Linked DNA regions of Sus scrofa. The protein of the gene in region 1 binds, or shares a complex with, the protein of each later gene. Links are inferred from orthologs where the notes say so. Each region holds a gene or a part of one and is shown in the gene's direction. Other genes may lie near its edges.

What was found.
Region 2: the proteins of LMNA (region 1) and BANF1 are in contact, whole or in part, in a crystal structure (PDB 6GHD), measured with the Homo sapiens proteins. The link is inferred for Sus scrofa from reciprocal best matches to the Homo sapiens genes LMNA and BANF1. Residues at the interface, in NP_001393912.1 of Homo sapiens: Ser431, Gln432, His433, Ala434, Arg435, Met540, Lys542; in NP_001137457.1 of Homo sapiens: Val11, Ala12, Glu13, Pro14, Glu83, Asp86, Ala87, Phe88.
Region 3: the proteins of LMNA (region 1) and ZMPSTE24 are in contact, whole or in part, in a crystal structure (PDB 2YPT), measured with the Homo sapiens proteins. The link is inferred for Sus scrofa from reciprocal best matches to the Homo sapiens genes LMNA and ZMPSTE24. Residues at the interface, in NP_001393912.1 of Homo sapiens: Cys661, Ser662, Ile663, Met664; in NP_005848.2 of Homo sapiens: Ser264, Asn265, Ala266, Tyr267, Phe268, Val332, His335, His339, Glu415, Leu438, Asn439, Asn442, His459, Arg465.

Annotation. Positions count from the first base shown.
Region 1 is NC_010446.5:93,923,483-93,927,872, reverse strand, and holds the start of LMNA (prelamin-A/C), read left to right. Parts: upstream 1-1,588; 5' UTR 1,589-1,691; intron 1,692-4,390.
Region 2 is NC_010444.4:6,332,908-6,336,787, reverse strand, and holds BANF1 (barrier-to-autointegration factor), read left to right. Parts: upstream 1-1,461; 5' UTR 1,462-1,756; exon of another isoform or gene 1,757-1,906; intron 1,907-1,928; exon of another isoform or gene 1,929-2,340; intron 2,341-2,451; 5' UTR 2,452-2,467; coding exon 2,468-2,590; intron 2,591-2,810; coding exon 2,811-2,957; 3' UTR 2,958-3,337; downstream 3,338-3,880. Other genes in the region: probable RNA-binding protein EIF1AD, read right to left, coding at 1-45, 142-228. UniProt on the Homo sapiens protein: Non-specific DNA-binding protein that plays key roles in mitotic nuclear reassembly, chromatin organization, DNA damage response, gene expression and intrinsic immunity against foreign DNA.
Region 3 is NC_010448.4:96,011,302-96,014,903, forward strand, and holds part of ZMPSTE24 (CAAX prenyl protease 1 homolog), read left to right. Parts: intron 1-143; coding exon 144-290; intron 291-3,602. UniProt on the Homo sapiens protein: Transmembrane metalloprotease whose catalytic activity is critical for processing lamin A/LMNA on the inner nuclear membrane and clearing clogged translocons on the endoplasmic reticulum.

The DNA of each region.
Region 1 (4,390 bases):
ATGTTTTGAGGACGTCCCATCCATCCTCCCCGCCAAGGCCAGGAAGCTCCGCTTCAGGAAGCCAGCCCCATTTTCACCTCCTTTGGGGATGGGATTGAGGGAATCATGGCCAAGAGGAAACAGATGCCCTCTTGGCCCCTCCCTGGGCAGCCTGAGAGCACACCAGCCTCAGGCCACTCGTGCATCCTGTCCCTCCCAGCCAGGTCCCTGCTGCCCTACCGCTGCTCCAGTGGCTCCCCCATTACCTGCCACTCAGGGGTCAAGGGCCAAAGTGAAGTGGGCTCTCAGGGAGCCCTGTAAGCTTTGGATTTACTAGACAAAGAGGGCAATTGGGGTGTTACTCTGGGGCTAGCCTGTGGGCTGGCATAGGGATAGTGGGACAGGGGAATCTGGGGAGCTGGATCAAGGCAGGTCTAGAAAGGAGGGGGTTGGCTTGCATGATGTCCTTAGACTCCTCCCAGCTCTGAAGTTCTGGCTTCTAAGCAATGACTGATGAAGCACTGGCCCAAGGCAGTCCCTTCCATCCCATGGAGTCTCCCTCCAGGAGCTCCTGACCTTGGCCAAGGCCCTGCCCATCCACCTGCCACACGTGGCCGCCACTAATCCAGAAGTGCCCTTTGATCTGTTCCCCCATCAGGAAATCTCCTGCAGATTAACCACCATCCTCCCCGGGGAGAATTTGCTTTCCCAGTTGACCTCCCTGGGGTGAGTGCCAAGGGCTAGCCTTGGAAGGGGACCCTGAGGAACTTAGGGGCTGCAGGGGCTGGGAACCCAGGTTGGTTTTATGGTGAGGCTAAGCAAGGTGAAGCTCAGGGATCCACAGTGGCACAGGCCTTCCCAAGACCCTTAGAGGAGCCTGACCAGGTTTCCACGTGTTCACTTATCTGTGTGAAATCTGTAAAAGATATTCTCATATTTTTAAGATAGAGCCTCCCCACAAAAATTGGATGGACACTTAGGAAGACCAACTGTCCGGTTTTGCCAGGAACTGTTCGGGTTTGAGCACTGCAAGGCCCTTGTCCTAGGAAACTCCTCAGTGCTCTGCAAACAGGACAGGTGGCCACTAGTTTCAGGCCCCACATTGGGTAACGTTTGCTCAGCACCTGGACTGGGGGTGGGGGGGGAAACAGGGATCCTTTTCTGCCTCACTTCCTGGAAGCCTCTCGGCGCCTAGGGCTTGGGGACCCTTTTCGCCGGCCCCAGTTCTGGAGTTGTGGCGCTTCTGTTTGTTTCCTTGGCAACAGGGAGAGGAAACCCCCATTTAGGAGACCCGGGAGGCCCCGGCAACCACACACACACAGACACACACAGACTCACAGGCAGCCGCCCACACGCAGGCGCCTGCGTCAGAACCAGCCGTCAGCACTGCCCGCCTCCGGGCGGCGGGGGCGGGGGGGCGGGAGAGGAACCACCCCGCCGGAGTCCGGAGTCGCCCTACCAGCCCGAACCGATCTGCCCTGGAGGGAACAAGCCCCGTCCCCTTGGCTCCGCCCACGTCTCCGGGGCCCCGCCCCTTCCTACGTCTACCTCCCCTCCCCCACCCTCACCAGGTGGGGCGGGGCCAAAGCTGGGAGATAGGGAGCAGAGAGGACGAAGTCACTGCGGAATTCCTCTTTGGCTCTTGTCTGGTGTGTACCGTGGCAGTATTTTGGTGTGTATTGTGACGGTTCCAGGAAGCCTGAGGCTCACAGGTGGGGCGGCTCTCTGGGCCCATTTGAGTGGGGGATGGGGTTTGGAATGTCGGGCAGGGACTCCTGGGCAGACTCTCGGATTTTGCTGTTGGATGGAGCTCCTTTGGGGTCTGGACTGAAGGGAGGTGGGATGTAGTTAACCTGGAGGCAAATCCCTGGAGTTTGGGACCTGCTTCTGTCTCTTGTTGTGTGGCCTGGAGCATATCAGTTAACCTGGCCCAAGTCTCAATCTCCGTATCTGTATAATGGGCATCATGGTGTTTGCTTTGTGCATCTCAGAGAGGTTTGAGAGGGTTAAGGTAGTAATCTGGATTGTGAAAAGATGACACCTGGGAGACCTGCCCAGCCAAATGTGAAGTGTAAAGGGTTGGTTCTGTGCTCATTATCTAGCGGCCCTGTCTGGCCTGGCTGGAGCACCCAGGGAAGATAGCCAGCCCTACACTGACCCCTGCAACCCCTGCCTCATCATGGTAGCGATAATGCCCATCCCTTGAGGTCGATTAGCCCCTTCCAGTATGTCCAGAGTGATGTCCTGTCTCCTACAGTAGTGTGAAATAGGGTCCGAGTACTATTTGGGGGTTTCTGGCTGTGTTTGGGCAAATCTTAGCTTCTCCAGCCTGAGAAGCCCACTTTGTAAAGAGAGGGGTTTAATTCTCAGAGCCCTGGGGGCCTCTTAGGGGAGGGGCAAAGGATCACCAGGCAGGGGTCCCTAAACTTCCCTGCTAGAGAGACTCTGCCTCTGTCATTTAGTATATTGGGCTTTTGGGGTGAAATTTCATTCAAATGAGGGGTTCACTGGCTTTACAAAAGGCCATCAAACACGCTCCTTCTGAGGGCCTTCCCAGCTAAACTAAGCCAAGCTAATTGTTCTAAGCCTGCATCATTCCATCTAGCTGGGTCCGGATGGGAAGAAGGCAGTTACTCAGCTGGACTATCTTAGGTCAATTAGTCAACTTCTCGGAGTTTGGGTTTTTGGTATATAAAATGCAGATAATAATACCTTCCTCATAAGGCTGAAGTCAAGATGAAGTGGGATCAGCCCCACATGGCCCCTAGCCCAGTGCCTGGTATGTGGCAGCTACTTAAAGAACAGCCAGGTCCTTCCATACCACCTGTGCAGGAGTGACTCAGCAGTTCAACAGGTGTTTAGTACTTGACCCTGTGATCAAAGAATGAATAAGACAGGGACCCTCCCTCCAAGCACTCTAGGGAGTTCCTGTTGTGGCTCAGGGGAAACAAACCTGACTAGTATCCATAGGGATGCAAGTTTGATCCCTGGCTTCGCTCAGTGGGTTAAGGTAATCCATCGCTGCTGTGAGCTGTGGTGCAGGTTGCAGACGTGGCTCAGATCTGGCATGGCTGTGGCTGTGGTGTAGGCCAGCAGCTACAGCTCCAATAGGACCCCTAGCCTGGGAACCTCCATATGCTGTGGCTGTTGCCCTAAAAAGACAAAAAAAAAAAAAAAAAAAACCAACCCAGAAACATTATAAAGGGATTCCCAAACCATAGCCTTGACTCTCCAAATCACCCCCTATTTCCTAGACCCTCTCCCAAAGAGTCACCCCTTCCCACCCCTGTGGGGGCGTATAACTGTCTCCCAATGGCCTAGGTCCCACTGGAATCCTCCTCTCTCCCACTCCTACCTGTCCAGAATTACAGCCTGACAGCTAAGTGCTTGGCTTTCAGAGCAGGCCCACCTGTATCACAATCCCAGTTCTGCTACTAATCATATGACCTTATACAAGTGTTTCTCAACTGGATGTGATTTTGCCCCACAGGAGACATTTGGCACCTTCTGAAGACATTTTTGATTGTCATAACTGGGGGCAGAGGGCTAGGGATACAGCAAAACATCCCATATGCTTAGACCCACCCCTCACAGCAAAGAATTATCTGGCCTAAAATGTCAAGAGTGCCAGCTTTGAGAAACCCTGCCTTAGATGAATAATTTAACCTCCTTAGACTTCAGTGTCCCCATCTGTAAAATAGGACTAATAGTAGTGTTTACCTTATAGATCTATTGCATAGGTTCAACAAAGTCACGCAAATACCTAGTGTCTAATAATAGTAGTTACTCCACACATCCTCCCTACACAAATCATTATTAGAATGCCTCTGGAATCCCTCCTGGCTGCACCCTTCTGCTGAGCCCGCTCCGTTTAGCTTGCCTCTTGCCAAGGCCTGTGCCTCTGACTCCTTCCTCGCTGGTCTCAATGCCTCCCTCCTCTCCTTATTGAGCAGCCAGAATCCTTTCCCTCAGACCCCCGTCCCCAAACCAGGCAGGAGGCTGCCTCCATCTCCCCCTTCTCCCATCCTGCCTCTCCTCCTGCCTCACCTCCAGTGTCTCCCTGCTCAGCTCAGCTGTGCACCCTCAGCTCTTTCCCGCCTCACAACCTCTGCACAGACTTCCTCCCCCAGCACCAGTCCACCCCCGCTCCTCCCACGTGTCCTGACAAAGTGGCATAAGATAGTGAAGAAGTCCTGGAGCAGGCAGCCTGGTCCGAGTTCTGAGCTTGGCCTCTCGCTTACTGTCTGGTTTTGGGAATGTCAGCCTCAGCTGTAAAACAGGGACATGTTCTCCAGTCTATGAGGTGGTTTGGGAACCAAGATGAGAATGTATGTGAAAACTTGCAGCTGTAAAGAGCATCAAGGTATAAGTCACCCAGTTTATTGAGCATTGTCCCTTTTTTTTTTTTTTG
Region 2 (3,880 bases), on another chromosome or scaffold:
GGCTGTCTCCACCTCATGCAGATTGTTCCCTGGGGTCCTGAGCACCTGGTCCAGAAGAGACCAAGTACCAGTCAGCATTATCAGCCAGCTGCAACCCTTGCTGAGCTACAGTCACCCTGTCCCCACCCCAGTGCCACTCACCCTGACGATCTGCTGCCGGTCGGAGGGCACCATGTGCTCCCCCAGCACCTCCTTCACCACGTGCTTCCTCTTGGTGGCCTGAGACATGTTGTTGGGTCCTGTCCCAGGGTGGGGGTGAGGGATGCAGAGACTGTCAGCTCCTCTCCCTGAGTTTCTTGGATGGCAGTCTCAGAAGGACTATTCTAAAGATGGGGAGGGACCTTTTACTGGGGAGGACACAGTGTCAGGTTAAGGAGAACTACTTGCATTCAAATCCCACCTTGGGTATTTCATGACTGTTCAATTTCTCTAGACTTCAGAGAAAAACAATAGCTAACTTAGAGCACTGCTCTAAGAATGAGCATAAGCAAAGCACTTAGCACTGTAAAGCACGTAAAAACAACTCGTGTGACAAGAGTTCTCCTGTGGCATAGCAGGTTAAGGATCTGGCATTCTCACTGCAGGGGCTCAGGTTGCTGCTGTGGCACAGAATCAATCTCTGAGCCGGGAACTTCCATGTGCTGCAGGCACGGCCAAAACAAATAAACAAATTTAAAAATACAACGGTAAAAACTAAACACGGGTTTCAGGAAAACAAGTCATTCTGGCAACCAGGGGGAGAAAGAATCACATAAACTCTTCTTCGGTATGCCTGTACATCCCAAGCGTAGCACAGCCACACAAACAGATGCTCAATCTCTCAACATACCACAGACATGGACCAGGGAGAAGAATTCAAGTTAGGAACAAGTTAACTAAGGTCAGGGCCGGCCGACATGGTCTTTGGCATCTGCTGTTTATGATTTGGGTACTGAGAAGACGAGGACTGATGCGCACACAGAAGACGGCCGGTTTCCAAAGGAAACGCCGAAGTGTCATCTCTAGTTGCCGTCCCCTGCCTGCCCTCCTCCCTTCCTACCCCGAAGGAAAGACGCTCAGTGAGAGAAACCCAAACTTACTCTCTGGCCCTCGGATCCCACGGGCGATGCCTGAAGCGGAACGACCCCGTTCTCCAGGCTGGACGCTGAACACGTCTCGTCAACGACTCGCTTTGTAGCTGAGTCAACGAGCGCACAGAAAATGGACTTGCCGGCGGTCGCGCCGGTGAAGACCCCTTGGACTCAAGTCTCTTACAAGCCGGACGGCGAGGAAGACAGCACGCGCCGGCCCGAGGAAACCCCTTACTTCCGGCGCTCTCTCGGAAGCCTCCCAGCCACACCTCCCTCCTTGTCCGCTCCTCTAATTCTTCCCACCACCAAGTAGGCCACGTTTAATCCTTAAGTTCCAAATGTCGCGCCGCCGAGAAATAAAGTTTTCTCCTCCCAGGCCTCTGCTCCCTCAGACCGGAAATATTTCCCGAGCAGTGAGACCACAGAAAGCTGCCCGGCTTCCCGCAAAGCAACCGGAAAGGAGCGCCTCCTAAACGCACGCTGGCGCGCCGCCCCCTCAACCCCGGCCCAATCTCAACTCTATGACTTCACGCGGCTAGAGGTGCCCAATGTAATTTTGGGTTTTTTTTTAAGGCGGCTCTTGAGGCGACCCGGAAGCGGAAGTGGGGCGAAAGTTCTAGCGGGTCGAGGCATCCGCAGGAGCGGCCGGGTGGCGGGAGAGGCCGTTACGGGAACCGGAGCTGCGGGTGAGTGCGAGCCGCGGTGCAGGGCCCAAGCTGGAGACTGGCGGAGGCGCGGGGAAGAGAAGGGGAAAGGCGCCTCAAGCACTGCGGCGGGCCAGAGGATGCGCCCTCGGAGAGGGATCGGCCGGGGCGCGGCGCGCGAGCGCAGAGGCGCGGGGAGGGGGCGGGGCGCGGCGCGCTGGGGGCGGGGCCGGCGGCGTGGGGCGCGGCGGGAGCCCTGGCGTGCAGCCCGCCGGGCTGGAGAAGCCGCTTCGCTTCTGCTTTGTGATTAGCTGGCGGGCCGGGTGGGACAGAGTCCTTCATTTGCTTTACGGGCCAGGTAGCCGTTGCAGGCAGGGTCAGTGCCACTTGGGCCCAGCCAAGGTCACCGAGGAGTGACAATTTCAGGGCGAGCCCTGGGTCCTGACAGACTCTTGGAATCTTGACTCTGCTCTGCGTGCGCCACCTGTTAGAGCAAGATAGTGTTGCCTCTGGGGTGGTACCGAAACCAGCTCCTGCAAGGAGTGGAAGAGATTTCTCTTTTGAATAGTGAGGAAAAGACTCCTTAGGCTTCGCTTTTTTCGTCCGTGAAGTGGGGGGAGAAGCGAGTAAGCTTCTGCGATGACTGGTCGAGCGTCCTCTTAACTGTGAGATTGGTAGTGGGCCCTCAGGAGTTCCCGGGTTTTCAGCCCTAACCTGCCTTTTCTTGGGATTCTCAGGTTAAGCTTGATCAAGATGACAACTTCCCAAAAGCACCGAGATTTCGTGGCAGAGCCCATGGGGGAAAAGCCAGTGGGAAGCCTGGCCGGGATTGGTGACGTACTGGGCAAGAAGCTGGAGGAAAGGGGCTTTGACAAGGTGTGGGGTGGCTGCGTGCAGCTGGGGAGGGCTGAGGATGGCCTGCTGGGCTCTTTCCTGGCAGTTGGGGCGGGAGGAGAGTGAGTGGACCCGTTGGGGGTGGGCAGTGGCATGTATTCTGCAGGGCTAGCCAGAGCCGGCCCTGCTTCCTAGGCTGAGGGCCTCGTTCCTGGTCCGCAGAGCACCTAGCAGCATGCCCTTCCCTCTGCCTGTCTTGCAGGCCTATGTGGTCCTTGGCCAGTTTCTGGTGCTCAAGAAAGATGAAGACCTCTTCCGGGAATGGCTGAAGGACACGTGTGGCGCCAATGCCAAGCAGTCGCGGGACTGCTTCGGGTGCCTCCGGGAGTGGTGTGATGCCTTCTTGTGATGCCCTCCGGGGAGCCCCCGACCCCAAGCCCCAGCATTGAGTCTCCAGAGTTTGCAGCCAAGCCAGGACTCCTCCCCCATCCTCTACAAAGGAAAAGATTGCTGTTGTGTGCACTTCCAACGTACTCCAGCATCTTTTGGGAGTTCTCTCCCCTCACCATGTCACCTTTTTTGGAATTCTCACACTTGCATGCATCTCCCTTCTCCTTTCCTTGCCAGTTTCATGTCAGCAATTACCAGCTTTTCTGAGTGAATTCCTGGTCCTGGCCCTTACCCCTACCCTCACTTCTGATCTGTTTTATGCCATGTTTGGCCCTCTTTTTGGCAGAACAGTTCCTGTCCTTGTAAAGTTTTCTAAATCAATAAAGTCAGTGGCCTTCATGCCTGGGCTCTGTCCATGGAAAGCAGGTGGGCTGGGAGCTCCCTGTTCCCCAGGGCCCGGCCAGGTTTGCCACACTCCTTATCAGTGCACGTCGAAACCGGCAGCTTCTGGCTCCAGAGGGCAGCCATCCTGGCCACGTGGGCCTTGGGCCAGGTGCCTCGGAGTGTCTCAATCCCTTAGTGATGTGGGAGAGGGTGTGGGTTGATCCCTTCCTGGGGTCCAGGTGGGCTGGGGTGTTCCAGATGTCAGCGTGGTCAGCTGGGCTAGGCAGCACCTGGTGGAAGACAGTTGGAGTCAGCGCTGCCAGGAAAAGGGTGGACCAGATGTGGGCGAGGGTTTACCTGATAATCGTCATGTGCTCTCCTGGCCTCCGGTAGGAGTGGACAGGGTTTTTGCAATCTGCCCTGTTCTCTTAGGCTTAGGCGGGAGCAGCGGGGGTGTGGGTGGGTGAATTTTTCTCAGCTTTACAGTCTAGTGAAGAGAGAAGTGACAGGTGATAAATACAGAAATTCAGGTAATGTGAGTTAGGCTTCTATTTGGTG
Region 3 (3,602 bases), on another chromosome or scaffold:
CGTGTATGTATAAAGCAAATTATGTTATTTGATTGGTGTTGGTGTTACGATCACCATTCAATGTCTGCTCGTAAATGACTATTGTAATAAATAATGAGTTCATTTGACTGTTTCCTTAAGGTGTTTTCTTCAAAATGTTTCAGAGACGGATATATAAAACAACAACTCATGTACCACTGGAGTTAGGACAGATCATGGATTCAGAAACATTTGAGAAATCTCGACTGTATCAGCTGGATAAAAGTACTTTCAGCTTCTGGTCAGGACTCTATTCAGAGATTGAAGGCACTGTGAGTAATTTACTCATCGGAGAGACAGTCTGTCAAATTATTTAATACTTTATAGTGTTTATTTTCATTTCTTTATTTTTGTATACAAAAGAGGGTGCCACACCTACAAATCCAAGAATGCTTTCTTACCCTTTGTTATTGATAGTAATGCATGTGGAGCAAAAGAGGCAGAAACAATAACTCTCAGTTGAAAATTGTGGAATATGGTAACTGTCACTCTGAGGCCAGGTATGAAAAAGAATCTTAAGTTGTAAGCTATTTTTATCTTAATCCTAACTTGCCTTCCTGTCTCTCTCTCTCTCTCTCTTTTTTTTAATGACCATACCTGAGACATTTGGAAGTTCTCCGGACAAGGACTGAATCTGAGCCATAACTGTGATCTATGCCACTGCTGCAGCAATGCCAGATCCTTTAACCTACTACTCCAGGCTGGGGATCGAATCTGTGCCTCTGCAGCCACCCCCAAGCTACTGTAGTCAGATATATATATATATTATTTTTTTTTTTTTTAGCAAATGTATTTTTTTCTTATAATGATTTTTATTTTTCCATTATAGCTGGTTTACAGTGTTCTGTCAATTTTCTAGTGCACAAAAAGGTGACCCAGTTCACACATACATGTGTACATTCTTTTTTCTCACATTATCATGCTCCATCACAAGTGACCAATGTAGTTCCCAGTGCTATACAGCAGGATCCAATTGCTTATTCATTCCAAAGGCAATGGTTTGCATCTATTAACCCCAAATTCCCAGTCCCTCCTACTCTCCCCCCCACTCCCCCCAACCCCTGGCAACCAAGTCTATTCTGCAAGTCCATAATTTTCTTTTCTGTGGAAAGTTACATTTGTACCATATATTAGATTTCAGATATAAGTGATATCATATGGTATTTGTCTTTCTTTTTTTTTTTTTTTTGTCTTTTTGTCTTTTTGCTATTTCTTGGACCGCTTCCGAGGCATATGGAGGTTCCCAGGCCAGGGGTTGAATCAGAGCTGTAGCCGCTGGCCTACGCCAGAGCCACAGCAACGCAGGATCTGAGCCGCGTCTGCAACCTACACTACAGCTCACGGCAACGCCGGATTGTTAACCCACTGAGCAAGGGCAGGGACCGAACCGCACCTCATGGTTCCTAGTCGGATTCGTTAACCACTGCGCCACGACAGGAACTCTGGTATTTGTCTTTCTGACTTCACTTAGTATGAGAGTCTCTAGTTCCATCCATGTTGCTGCAAATGGCATTATTTTGTTCTTTTTTATGGCTGAGTAGTATTCCATTGTTTATATATACCACATCTTCTTAATCCAGTCATCTCTCAATGGACACTTAGGTTGTTGCCTTGCAGTCAGGTTCTTAACCCATTGTACCACAGTGGGAACTCTCCTGCCTCTGTCTTAACTCTGCAACCTGTCATCCACATTGCAGCCAAAGGAACCCTGAAGCACAGCACTGATCATGTTATTCTCCTATGTATGACCTTTCACTGGCTTGATTTCTCCCTCAGGGTAAAGTCCAAATTTCTTGGCATGATTTATGAGATTCTTTTGATTTGGCCATTGCTTATTTGAGCTCATCTTTTTTTTTTTTTTTTTTTTGCAGCCACACCTGTGTCATATGGAAGTTCCTGGGCCAGGGGTGAATCAGAGTGACGGCTGAAGCCTATGCTGCAGCCACAGCAACACTGGATCTGAGCCCCATCTGTGACCTATGCTACAGCTTGGAGCAACACCAGATCCTTAATCCATTTAGTGAGGTCAGGGATCAAACCTGCATCCTCAGGGAGACTACATCAGGTTCTTAACCCACTGAGCCACAATGGGAATTCTAGCCTCATGTTTTTATTCCTTCCCCAAAATTCTTTGCATTTTTTTTTTTTTTTTGGCCATGCCTGTGACATGTGGAAGTTCCTGAACCAGGACTGAACACATGCCATGGCAGCAACCTGAGCCACAGCAGTGATGCATCAGGTCCTTAACCCACTGAGCCACAAAGGACCTCCTTTTCCATTTCTTTATTGTCCATCTCATACCCAGCTTGGTTTCTTATGACCTTGAGTCCTTTTATATGCTGTTATCTCTGTCTGGGGCACCCCTCCTCTCCCCCTTCATCTCCACTCTCTCCCTGGGGCCTGATTAATCCCCACTCTTCCATTAGGATTCAGCTGAGGCACCTCTTCTAAGAAACCATTTGAAACTTCCCCATCCCTCAAGTCTGGATAAGGTTCCGTTCCATTATTATTCCTACCAGAGTACTTATCACATTGTATTGAATTTGCCTGTTTCGCTGACAGACTGGTAGTTTTAAGAGGTAGGGTACTTTAAGGTCTTGTTCATTATTTTCTGCTTAGTACCTGGCATATAATAAGCATATAATTCACAGTTATTGAATGAAATAATGAGTGATAGATAATTTTTTTCTTAGTAAAACAGGGCTGGTCTTCCCCCGTGCTGAAAGAGGAGAGGCTATGAAGTACAGAGCCGTGTTTCTCAGTCTTCTTTTCATGATCTCCCCTGACCCATCACCCTGGCACCTCTGTAACCATTTTTTTCCCTGATTGCCCCTCCATGAAATTTTAATACCATAGATATACTGTAGGCTGTATGTCTGTTCCGGTACTGTATGTACACACACACACACACACACACACACACGTATATTTATTAAATGTAAAATGAGGAAGATTTTTTTCATACACACCCCCAAAAAACAATTCTTGGTTTTACACCCCTAAGAACAATTGAAAGTGCATAGTGTTGAGGTTAAGAGCTGACTCTGAACTCAGGTGGCTTGAGTTTGAATCTCAGGTCTACCATACCAGTTCATGAAAGCCTCTACACCATTGTTTTGTTCTTGGTATATGTCACATATCCACTGGTAGACATTCCAAAGTTCTTTGGGCAATGTGGGTTCAACTGCACCTTTGAGGCCCTCACGGCCTCTTTCTCCTGCAAAGCAGTGTGTTTCAAAATAAGAAACCAACTCTTGAGGCAGATCATCTGTCAGCTCAAAAAAGCCATCAATAACATTGCTAACTGGAGGAAATGCTAACAAATTTCAACCAGTTGAAACCAAATTGTGAAACCAAAAACTGTCAACCAGTTATTTTACCTTTCACGGCAAAATTGCCTTAACAGCCATTTAGTTATGTAGCAAAAATGTTTGCAGCAACATATTTAAAGCAAAGAAGCTTATGGTGAAAATACTGGACATGTGAAAATAATTGAGATTGGCTATCATAATTGTTTCATCAGTTAAAGAGAAGAAACTGGCCGTTTGCAGCTTTCTTAAATGATTACTGAATTGTCTAGCTAG